Xenopus tropicalis: one gene and its partner. The protein of the gene in region 1 interacts with the protein of each later gene in a biochemical or structural test. Links are inferred from orthologs where the notes say so. Each region holds a gene or a part of one and is shown in the gene's direction. Other genes may lie near its edges.

Region 1 (4,415 bases):
AATCACAAGCCATACAGTGTTTCTTGAAAAGGATGATGGGAAATGTAGTATTGGTTAGTATTTACACGTAACAGTATGCTTGAATACATGTTTGCTGTTTCTAAATGATTATAGTAATAGCAATTAGTTTTACCACAAATTTCTCACAGTTATGTTGGAAAATATTTTTCCTAAAAGTCCAGAGGGTTGATAATGATTGCTTAATTGTTTCTTACAAGATGTTTTCCACATTTATATCTGCACATTCCCACTGTGTGTTCTACAGATTTCCTGCAGAGAGGGGGATGGAATTATCTCCGCTCCACTCACTCTTGGTGTTTGTAAACCAAATATATAGTGACTAAAGTACCCACTATTGTAAAATATAGAGACATTATAAGTCACCAAGGAATTCCTTATAATATATAGTGAATAAAGTACCCCCTATTGTAACATATAGGGATATTGTTAGTCCCCGAGGAGTTCCTTATAATATATAGTGAATAAAGTGCCCCCTATTGTAACATATAGGGATATTATAAGCCCCTGAGGAGTTCCTTATAATATATAGTGAATAACGTACCCCCTATTGTAAAATATAGGGATATTATGTCACCGAGGAGTTCCTTATAATATATAGTCAATAAAGTACCCCCTATTTTAAAATATAGGGATATTATAAGTCCCCCAGGAGTTCCTTATAATATATAGTGAATAAAGTGCCCCCTATTGTAACATATAGGGATATTATAAGTCACTTAGAGTTCCTTATAATATATAGTGAATAAAGTACCCCCTATTGTAACATATAGGGATATTATAAGTCACAGAGGAGTTCCTTATAATATATAGTGAATAAAGTACCCCCTATTGTAAAATATAGGGATATTATAAGTCACTGAGGAGTTCCATGACTATATAAAAGTACAAGGCCGAAGGTGACTTCTAATACCCTCATTTTTTACAACAGGGGGTACTTTATTTATTAAAATATACTTGTTTTAGTGAGTCATGTGACAGAAATGACATCACTAAGCTCTGATTATAACTGATGACATCACCAATATATATATATACCTTTGTCTTCTAAACCTTGCACTAAAATGTAAGTGAAAGTCTGTTTTTTTCTTAAATTAAAATATAAATCCAACATTTCTACAGAATTTAGCAGGTTATTTTACCCCCCTATAAATATTTAGAGTTCTGGTTTACAACCCCTCCCTCTCTCACCTAGATTGTGAGCTTTTGGGGCTTTTAACAGCTCATCTGACAATGTTTGCATTTTATTTAGAGTTCAGTCTGTCTCTTATCTGTGGGGAGGAGAGAGGGTTGGAACATACAGAGGCTGCACCCAAAATACCCCAAAGCATCCTCATATTTATTTATAAGGACAGCAGGAAGATTAGATTTTATTGTATGAATACATATATGTATATGTTCCCCTTTGCAGATGACCAATTACAATAATAACAAAGCGGTACCAGAGCCCCACAGTACCACTACACACATGTGGCTGTGACTGACAGCCCGGATTCCCGCCTACGTCTATGACAGCCGCTGGCCACGCCCCTCCCCTCCCATTGGCTGTTCGCTGCCGCCTGGCTGTGTTATTTTTCGAATATAAGAGCGGAGCGCTGGGACTGCGGGCAGAAGCTGGAGACTGGCGGAGAAGCGATTGTCGGGCCCCTGTGCCTCTTATTTCCTTTCCCTGCCCATGATCTGCCTGAAATAGGGACGCCCATGTAGGGGACAGGGCACATTGGAACCCCCCGATCCCATCGCTGTATATTCTTTCTGCTTGTGCCCCCCCACCCCTCCTCTGCATGTGCAATATACTGCCCTCTGCTGCACCCCAGGATCTGCAACAGCCTCTGCACCCCGGAACCTGACATCAGCTTTGCACCCCGGAACCTGACATCAGCACCCTTGCAGCTTAGCACCTTTCCCGTTCTGCAACAAGCTCTGCACTTCTGACTCTGTGACTCTGAAGCCTCTGCACTTCCTGCTCTGCATAAGGATCTACTAAAGCCTCTGCACCCCGGGATATACAAAGGCCTCTGCATTGCTCTGCACTTTTGCCTGCTCTTTGCAGCCCCCCAGTTTGCTGTGTTGCACCCCATCTTTGCACCCCTAGTTCCTAGCCCAGACCCCCCAACAATGGAGCTAGAGAAGCTGCTGAATGATTTCAGTCCCAGCCGGAGCCAGGTCCCTGTGCCCAGACCCACCCTGCTGCCAGGCTTTGCCATGGTTGGAGCCCGGGGCCTACTGTGCCAAGAATCTGGGGTCTTGTCCCCCGTCACCAGTCTGGCTTTCACCATGAACAAGCTGGCCGGCCTAGGAAGGTGAGAATTCATTTTAAATATACTATACATTGCTTTTGTACTGTACCTTGGCATGATGGGTAAAGCATGGCAGCCCTTAGGGTCAATGCCAAGGCAAGATGGGTAAAGCATGGCAGCCCTTAGGGTCAATGCCAAGGCAAGATGGGTAAAGCATGGCAGCCCTTAGGGTCAATGCCAAGGCATGATGGGTAAAGCATGGCAGCCCTTAGGGTCAATGCCAAGGCAAGATGGGTTAAGGATGGCAGCCCTTATGCGCAATGCCAAGGTATGATGGGTAAAGCATGGCAGCCCTTAGGAGCAATGCCAAGGCATGATGGGTAAAGCATAGCAGTCCTTAGGAGCAATGCCAAGGCATGATAGGTAAAGCATGGCAGCCCTTAGGCGCAATGCCAAGGCATGATGGGTTAAGGATGGCAGCCCTTAGGAGCAATGCCAAGGCATGATGGGTAAAGCATAGCAGTCCTTAGGAGCAATGCCAAGGCATGATAGGTAAAGCATGGCAGCCTGTTGGAGCAATGCCATGGCATGATGGGTTAAGGATGGCAGCCCTTAGGCGCAATGCCAAGGCATGATAGGTAAAGCTTGGCAGCCCTTAGCGCAATGCCAAGGCATGATGGGTAAAGCATGGCAGCCCTTTGGCGCAATGCCAAGGCATGATGGGTAATTCATGGCAGCCCTTAGGCGCAATGCCAAGGCATGATGGGTAATTCATGGCAGCCCTTAGGCGCAATGCCAAGGCATGATGGGTAATTCATGGCAGCACAGAGCAGTGGTAAGTTGCAATAGAATATATTCCCCATGCTGTGTGTGGTTAGTGGCACCCTATGGCAGTGCCAGGGGCAGAATGCTAAAGACATTGGCACTAAGTGGCCACTATATCTGCTGCTATTGTAACCCTGGTGTGAATTAGATTGCAAGCTTCTGTGCCTTGCTCCCCTCTGTACTGAGTATCCCTTGTTTGTATGGGACACAGGAGAATGTGTACGCCCTACAGGGCAAGGAAGCAGGGAGTTGCTGTTAATCAGCTGTCAGGCTTCACAATTGTTCAAACAAAGCTCTGAGCTTGTGTTACTGAGTGAGGTTTCACACCCTGCGCCTCTGGTAAAATCTGCCCCCACTGCCTGGGTTTCTTTGCTTTCCATACTGAAATGCAGTACAGGCTGCAGGATACAAGTTATTGGGGGGGGGGTTCTTCTGTTGCTGGGTGGTACATACTGCGGCCTGTTTTCATGCAGTAAATAGATCTGTCCCTAAGGGTTTCTCTGTTTCCCTGCCATTTCCTGCCTGCTCTGGCTAAGGGTCCGCGCCTGCGCACTACCCCCTCACCCCCCAGGAATGGTACTTTCATTCAGATCAGTGGACCTATAGCCTCATACTGTAAGTACCTAGAGAAAAGGCAAAGTTTATGATTATAGGGGTTCGTAAGAGTGGGAGCTGCCATACATTGTTCTGCTACTGTACTTGGATATCAGTTTGGAAGGCAACAGTTGCATTGTCTTGGAAATTCGTAACGCTGACAAGTTCCCCTTTATGTGCAAAGCTTCCGTCCTGTGTTCCGTCCCATCCCCGGGCTGTGTAGCAATGCCTCGTGGGCCGATACCTGCGCATAGGATCTGTGCTTATCTGTGCCATTTGGTGTGGTTTGGACTATGCCATTACCATCTGCCATCTTCCCGCATCTCCCCCCAAGGATTTGCCTAATTAGAGTGAAATGAGCTTTGGGAGATAACGGATACCATCAGGCTTGGCTTCCTCTACAAACGGCTTTGTCCCCTTTCCCTGGGGAGGTGCAAATGTTTGTAATTGGTGATTAAATGGGATATTTTCTGCGGAGAAAGCCCCCATTGTTCTGGCCAAAGAGCAGAGAGATCACCTGAGTGCGTGGGAATGGGAGTTTGCTGTATAGGACTGCGCTCTGCACTGTGTAATATGCTCTGCTTCATGGTGATATATATATTTATTTCTCTGCAGCCAAAGTGACACGCCAAAAAGAAAACATGGCATCTCCTTCCGGACTCAGTGCACCTCCCTGTCGCGAACGTCGTCCTCCGATTCATCCGATTCCGGTGAGGATCCATTGATGATGTTTTTTTT
Region 2 (4,095 bases), on another chromosome or scaffold:
GTGCAGGAACGGCTGCCCCCGGGGCTACACAGCGGGGTATTTATATAAACTATAGTAGGGTTTCTGTAGCAAACACCCCAGCTGTACCAGTGCAGGAATGGCTGCCCCCGGGGCTACACAGCGGGGTATTTATATAAACTATAGTAGGGTTTCTGTAGCAAACACCCCAGCTGTACCAGTGCAGGAATGGCTGCCCCCGGGGCTACACAGCAGGGTATTTATATAAACTATAGTAGGGTTTCTGTAGCAAACACCCCAGCTGTACCAGTGCAGGAATGGCTGCCCCCGGGGCTACACAGCAGGGTATTTATATAAACTATAGTAGGGTTTCTGTATATGTAATATTTTTATTACTTTAAAACAATTTCATTTTTGGTGTTTCTTTTCCTTTAAACATGTGGTATATTTTTTTTAACTGCAGGTCAGTGTGCCAAGGGTCCCCTGTAGAATAATTGCAGCTTGAAGGGCCACAGGCAGCCAGCAGCTTCTGAAACAAATACAATATCACTAGGCCGGTATGAGGCTGTACAGGGGCCCTAGAGGCAAAGGGACAATGGTGTAGGCCACTCGGTCAGCCTGACAGCAAAGGTCCCGAAGCACACGTTACAATCGCCCAAACTATTGCTTTATCGAAGCAGTTCATTGATTATTTTCACAACACCATTTTATTGAAATTGAATAAGCTAGATTTTTTTTTTTTTTCAAAGGGGGTGGGGAAAGATAAGCGGACGACAAAATGGAGACTGCAGCAGGTTAGACGCCTTCATTCCCCACAGAATGCACAATAACACATTCTGTATACCCCACGATTGAGAAACTCAATAATACTCATAACTGTGTCAGGGCAGCTTAATCCCCCTGATTTCTGCCCAAAAGCCCCGCAAAGTGTCGCCTCAAACCCCCTACAAGCTGACACTTGCCTCCCCTTCCCGCCCAGACGCGCTTCCTCCCACCCCTCCTGCTAAGACGGTTGACGTCATCTCCCCGTTGCCGAGGAAACGATGAGGTCACCCCGCTTCTCCCCTCCCTCCAGTGAAGCCGCCAGTGCTTGTTGTACTGTCAGGAGTTTAGAACTGAAGGAGAAAGGTGGAGGGGAGGGGCTTGGAGGCGGGGCTTGAAGGAAGCGGAAGTGGCGGCTGGAACGGAAGTGGAACGGCCAGTGAATCTGCAGGAGAGGAGGAGAACGGTGAGGGAAGCTGAGCTAGCCCGGGTCGAATTACTGAATCTATTGGCAGGTCGCGGATTTTTGAGGTACGTGCGATGGCAGAGAGCGTAGTGCATTCGTGTGGGAGATGGCGGCCATTCTATAGCCGCCTATGGGGTCGCTCCTTACAAGGGCGGGGATCTGTGCGCGGCCTGGATCCCTTTCCCCAGCGCCTGGGGCTCAACATCCGCTCGCTTTCCCCATTGGGGCCCCCTTAGTACCCCACACCCTCCGATGCGCAGGGTAACCTCGCCCGATCCGTAGGCCTCTTTCCGACCCTGTCAGCCGTATTATCCCCAGCCCTGCCCTTACACAGCTCCCAGCATTTCCCGTTACATGCTTTCCCTGTTAAATGGAAAATACGTATATAATTAATAGACTTTTTTTCTTTGTTATGGAAAACCTATAACCGCACATTATTGATTATTTTTTTTTTACCCCTTAATGTCATTCGTTGCCGGTGCCCCAAAGCTTTTTGTAGGCAATATCTCATTTAACCTATAGACGTCATTGAAACAGCGACACCTAGTGGCCAGATGCTTGTATAGTGTCACAAAGCAATACCGCAATACTGAAAAAGCACCAAGATAGTCCCCTGTAATTCGCTGCAGAAGAGTGTATACAGCCAGCACACACCTTATATACAATAGGTTTCATATACATATACAATGTGTTTCATAATATCAATCAGGAAGTGATCTCTTTATTTCTGCAGCAGCAGGAAGTGGCAAATCAGGGAAACAAATGCTCCATTTGGGGATATCTACAATTATACAGGATCAGCAACTCTATGGGGTGTTTATTTGTAGCCTTTCCAAGCCCTGATCTATATGCAGGCCTATTTATCATTATCTACACTTTCTAGGCAGCCTGAGGGCTACAGTTCACATACACTAGATCCCAATTACTGAATCCGGTAGCTAAATTGTCATGCAAACCAAGAATGTCATCTATAGTTGTACATTACATTAACATTTATTTATAAAGCGCCAACATATTCCGCAGCGCTGTACAATAAGTGGGTTACATACATTGGACATACAGAGTAACATATAAAGCAATCAATAACTGATACAAGAGGTGAAGAGAGCCCTGCCCAAAAGAGCTTACAATCTACAAGATAGCACTGCAACTAGCAACATCCTTGTACAGGTATGGGATCCCTTATCCGGAAACCCATTATCCAGAAAGTTCCGAATTACATAAATGCCATCTCCCATAGACTTCATTATAAGCAAATAATGTAATAATAAAACAGTACCTGTACTTGATCCCAACTAAGATATAATTACCCCTTATTGGGGCAGAACAGCCCTATTGGGTTTATTTAATGGTTAAATGATTCCCTTTTCTCTGTAATAATAAAACAGTACCTGTACTTGATCCCAACTAAGATATAATTACCCCTTATTGGGGGCAGAACAGCCCTATTGGGTTTATTTAATGGTTAAATGATTCCCTTTTCTCTGTAATAATAAAACAGTACCTGTACTTGATCCCAACTAAGATATAATTACCCCTTATTGGGGGCAGAACAGCCCTATTGGGTTTATTTCATGGTTAAATGATTCCCTTTTCTCTGTAATAATAAAACAGTACCTGTACTTGATCCCAACTAAGATATAATTACCCCTTATTGGGGGCAGAACAGCCCTATTGGGTTTATTTAATGGTTAAATGATTCCCTTTTCTCTGTAATAATAAAACAGTACCTGTACTTGATCCCAACTAAGATATAATTACCCCTTATTGGGGCAGAACAGCACTATTGGGTTTATTTCATGGTTAAATGATTCCCTTTTCTCTGTAATAATAAAACAGCACCTGTACTTGATCCCAACTAAGATATAATTAATTCTTTCTGGAGGCAAAACAAACCCATTGGGTTTATCCAATATTTAAATGATTTAACTTAAATTGTGGAGATCCAAATTACAGAATGATCCCTTATCCGGAAAACCCCAGGTCCTAAGCATTCTGGATAACAGGTCCCATACCTGTATAACAAAGGGTTGCTGTGGGCCCTTGGGCTTATCATTCAGCCACTAGAAGGTAGTTGGTATTTCCTAAATAAAGTTGGCACTTATCTGGCTTTGCAGATAATGGATCTTTCCATTATTTGGGTCACCATACCTTGAGGCCTGCTAAAAAATAGTTTAACCATTAAATAAACCCAGTAGAATTTTAGCTTAGTTCCCATCAAGTACACAGTACTATTTAATACAGAAGAAAGGGATCTCGGTAAAATACATTTGAATTATTTACTTATAATGTGCTCTATGGGAGATGCTCTTCCTGTAATTCGTAGGTTTTTGGATAACGGGTTTTGGGTTAAAGGGATCCTATACCTGTTCCAATTTATCCATCTAGAGATATGAGTATATGCCCATATAGTGAGATGATATACAGCCATATAGGAAAAGGTCTGCCAATCTATACACACATTTCCTGATCTCCCATGTAGCCCCTAAGCCGCGCTTAATCAATACATTTCTTGGCTCCTTATTCAGCTGATGGTCAGTATTGATCCCTGACAAGCTGCCTTTAATCCTGCTATGACTCCCATCCATATTTCATGTGTACAGCTCTTAAAAAATCAGAAGTCTATCTCAAAAGTCTATCAAACAAAGGCATGCTTGGCTATATGAATAATTAATAATGGCACGTTTAGAGTGAGAATATAAACGTTCTGCCCAGTGTGCCTTGCCATGATTAAGCAGTTTGGTTCTGGAGTGCTGCATTGCATTCTATGTACCAGCAGAGTTTATGCCAACAAAACATTTTTTTTTTTAAATTCTTCTAACGTTTTAATTGCTTTTTTCTTTTACTCAGGATTAGCACTGTGGTTGCATATTTGCTCTGCATACCCTTCTCATTAGAAAATGTGCTTA

Evidence for each region.
Region 2: the proteins of cdc25b (region 1) and ywhab form a complex in vitro, tested with the Homo sapiens proteins (2 studies listed by BioGRID). The link is inferred for Xenopus tropicalis from reciprocal best matches to the Homo sapiens genes CDC25B and YWHAB.

Annotation. Positions count from the first base shown.
Region 1 is NC_030677.2:15,574,686-15,579,100, reverse strand, and holds the start of cdc25b (M-phase inducer phosphatase 2), read left to right. Parts: upstream 1-1,611; 5' UTR 1,612-2,136; coding exon 2,137-2,321; intron 2,322-4,292; coding exon 4,293-4,387; intron 4,388-4,415. UniProt on the Homo sapiens protein: Tyrosine protein phosphatase which functions as a dosage-dependent inducer of mitotic progression. Directly dephosphorylates CDK1 and stimulates its kinase activity.
Region 2 is NC_030686.2:12,511,793-12,515,887, forward strand, and holds the start of ywhab (14-3-3 protein beta/alpha), read left to right. Parts: upstream 1-1,163; 5' UTR 1,164-1,251; intron 1,252-4,095. UniProt on the Homo sapiens protein: Adapter protein implicated in the regulation of a large spectrum of both general and specialized signaling pathways. Binds to a large number of partners, usually by recognition of a phosphoserine or phosphothreonine motif.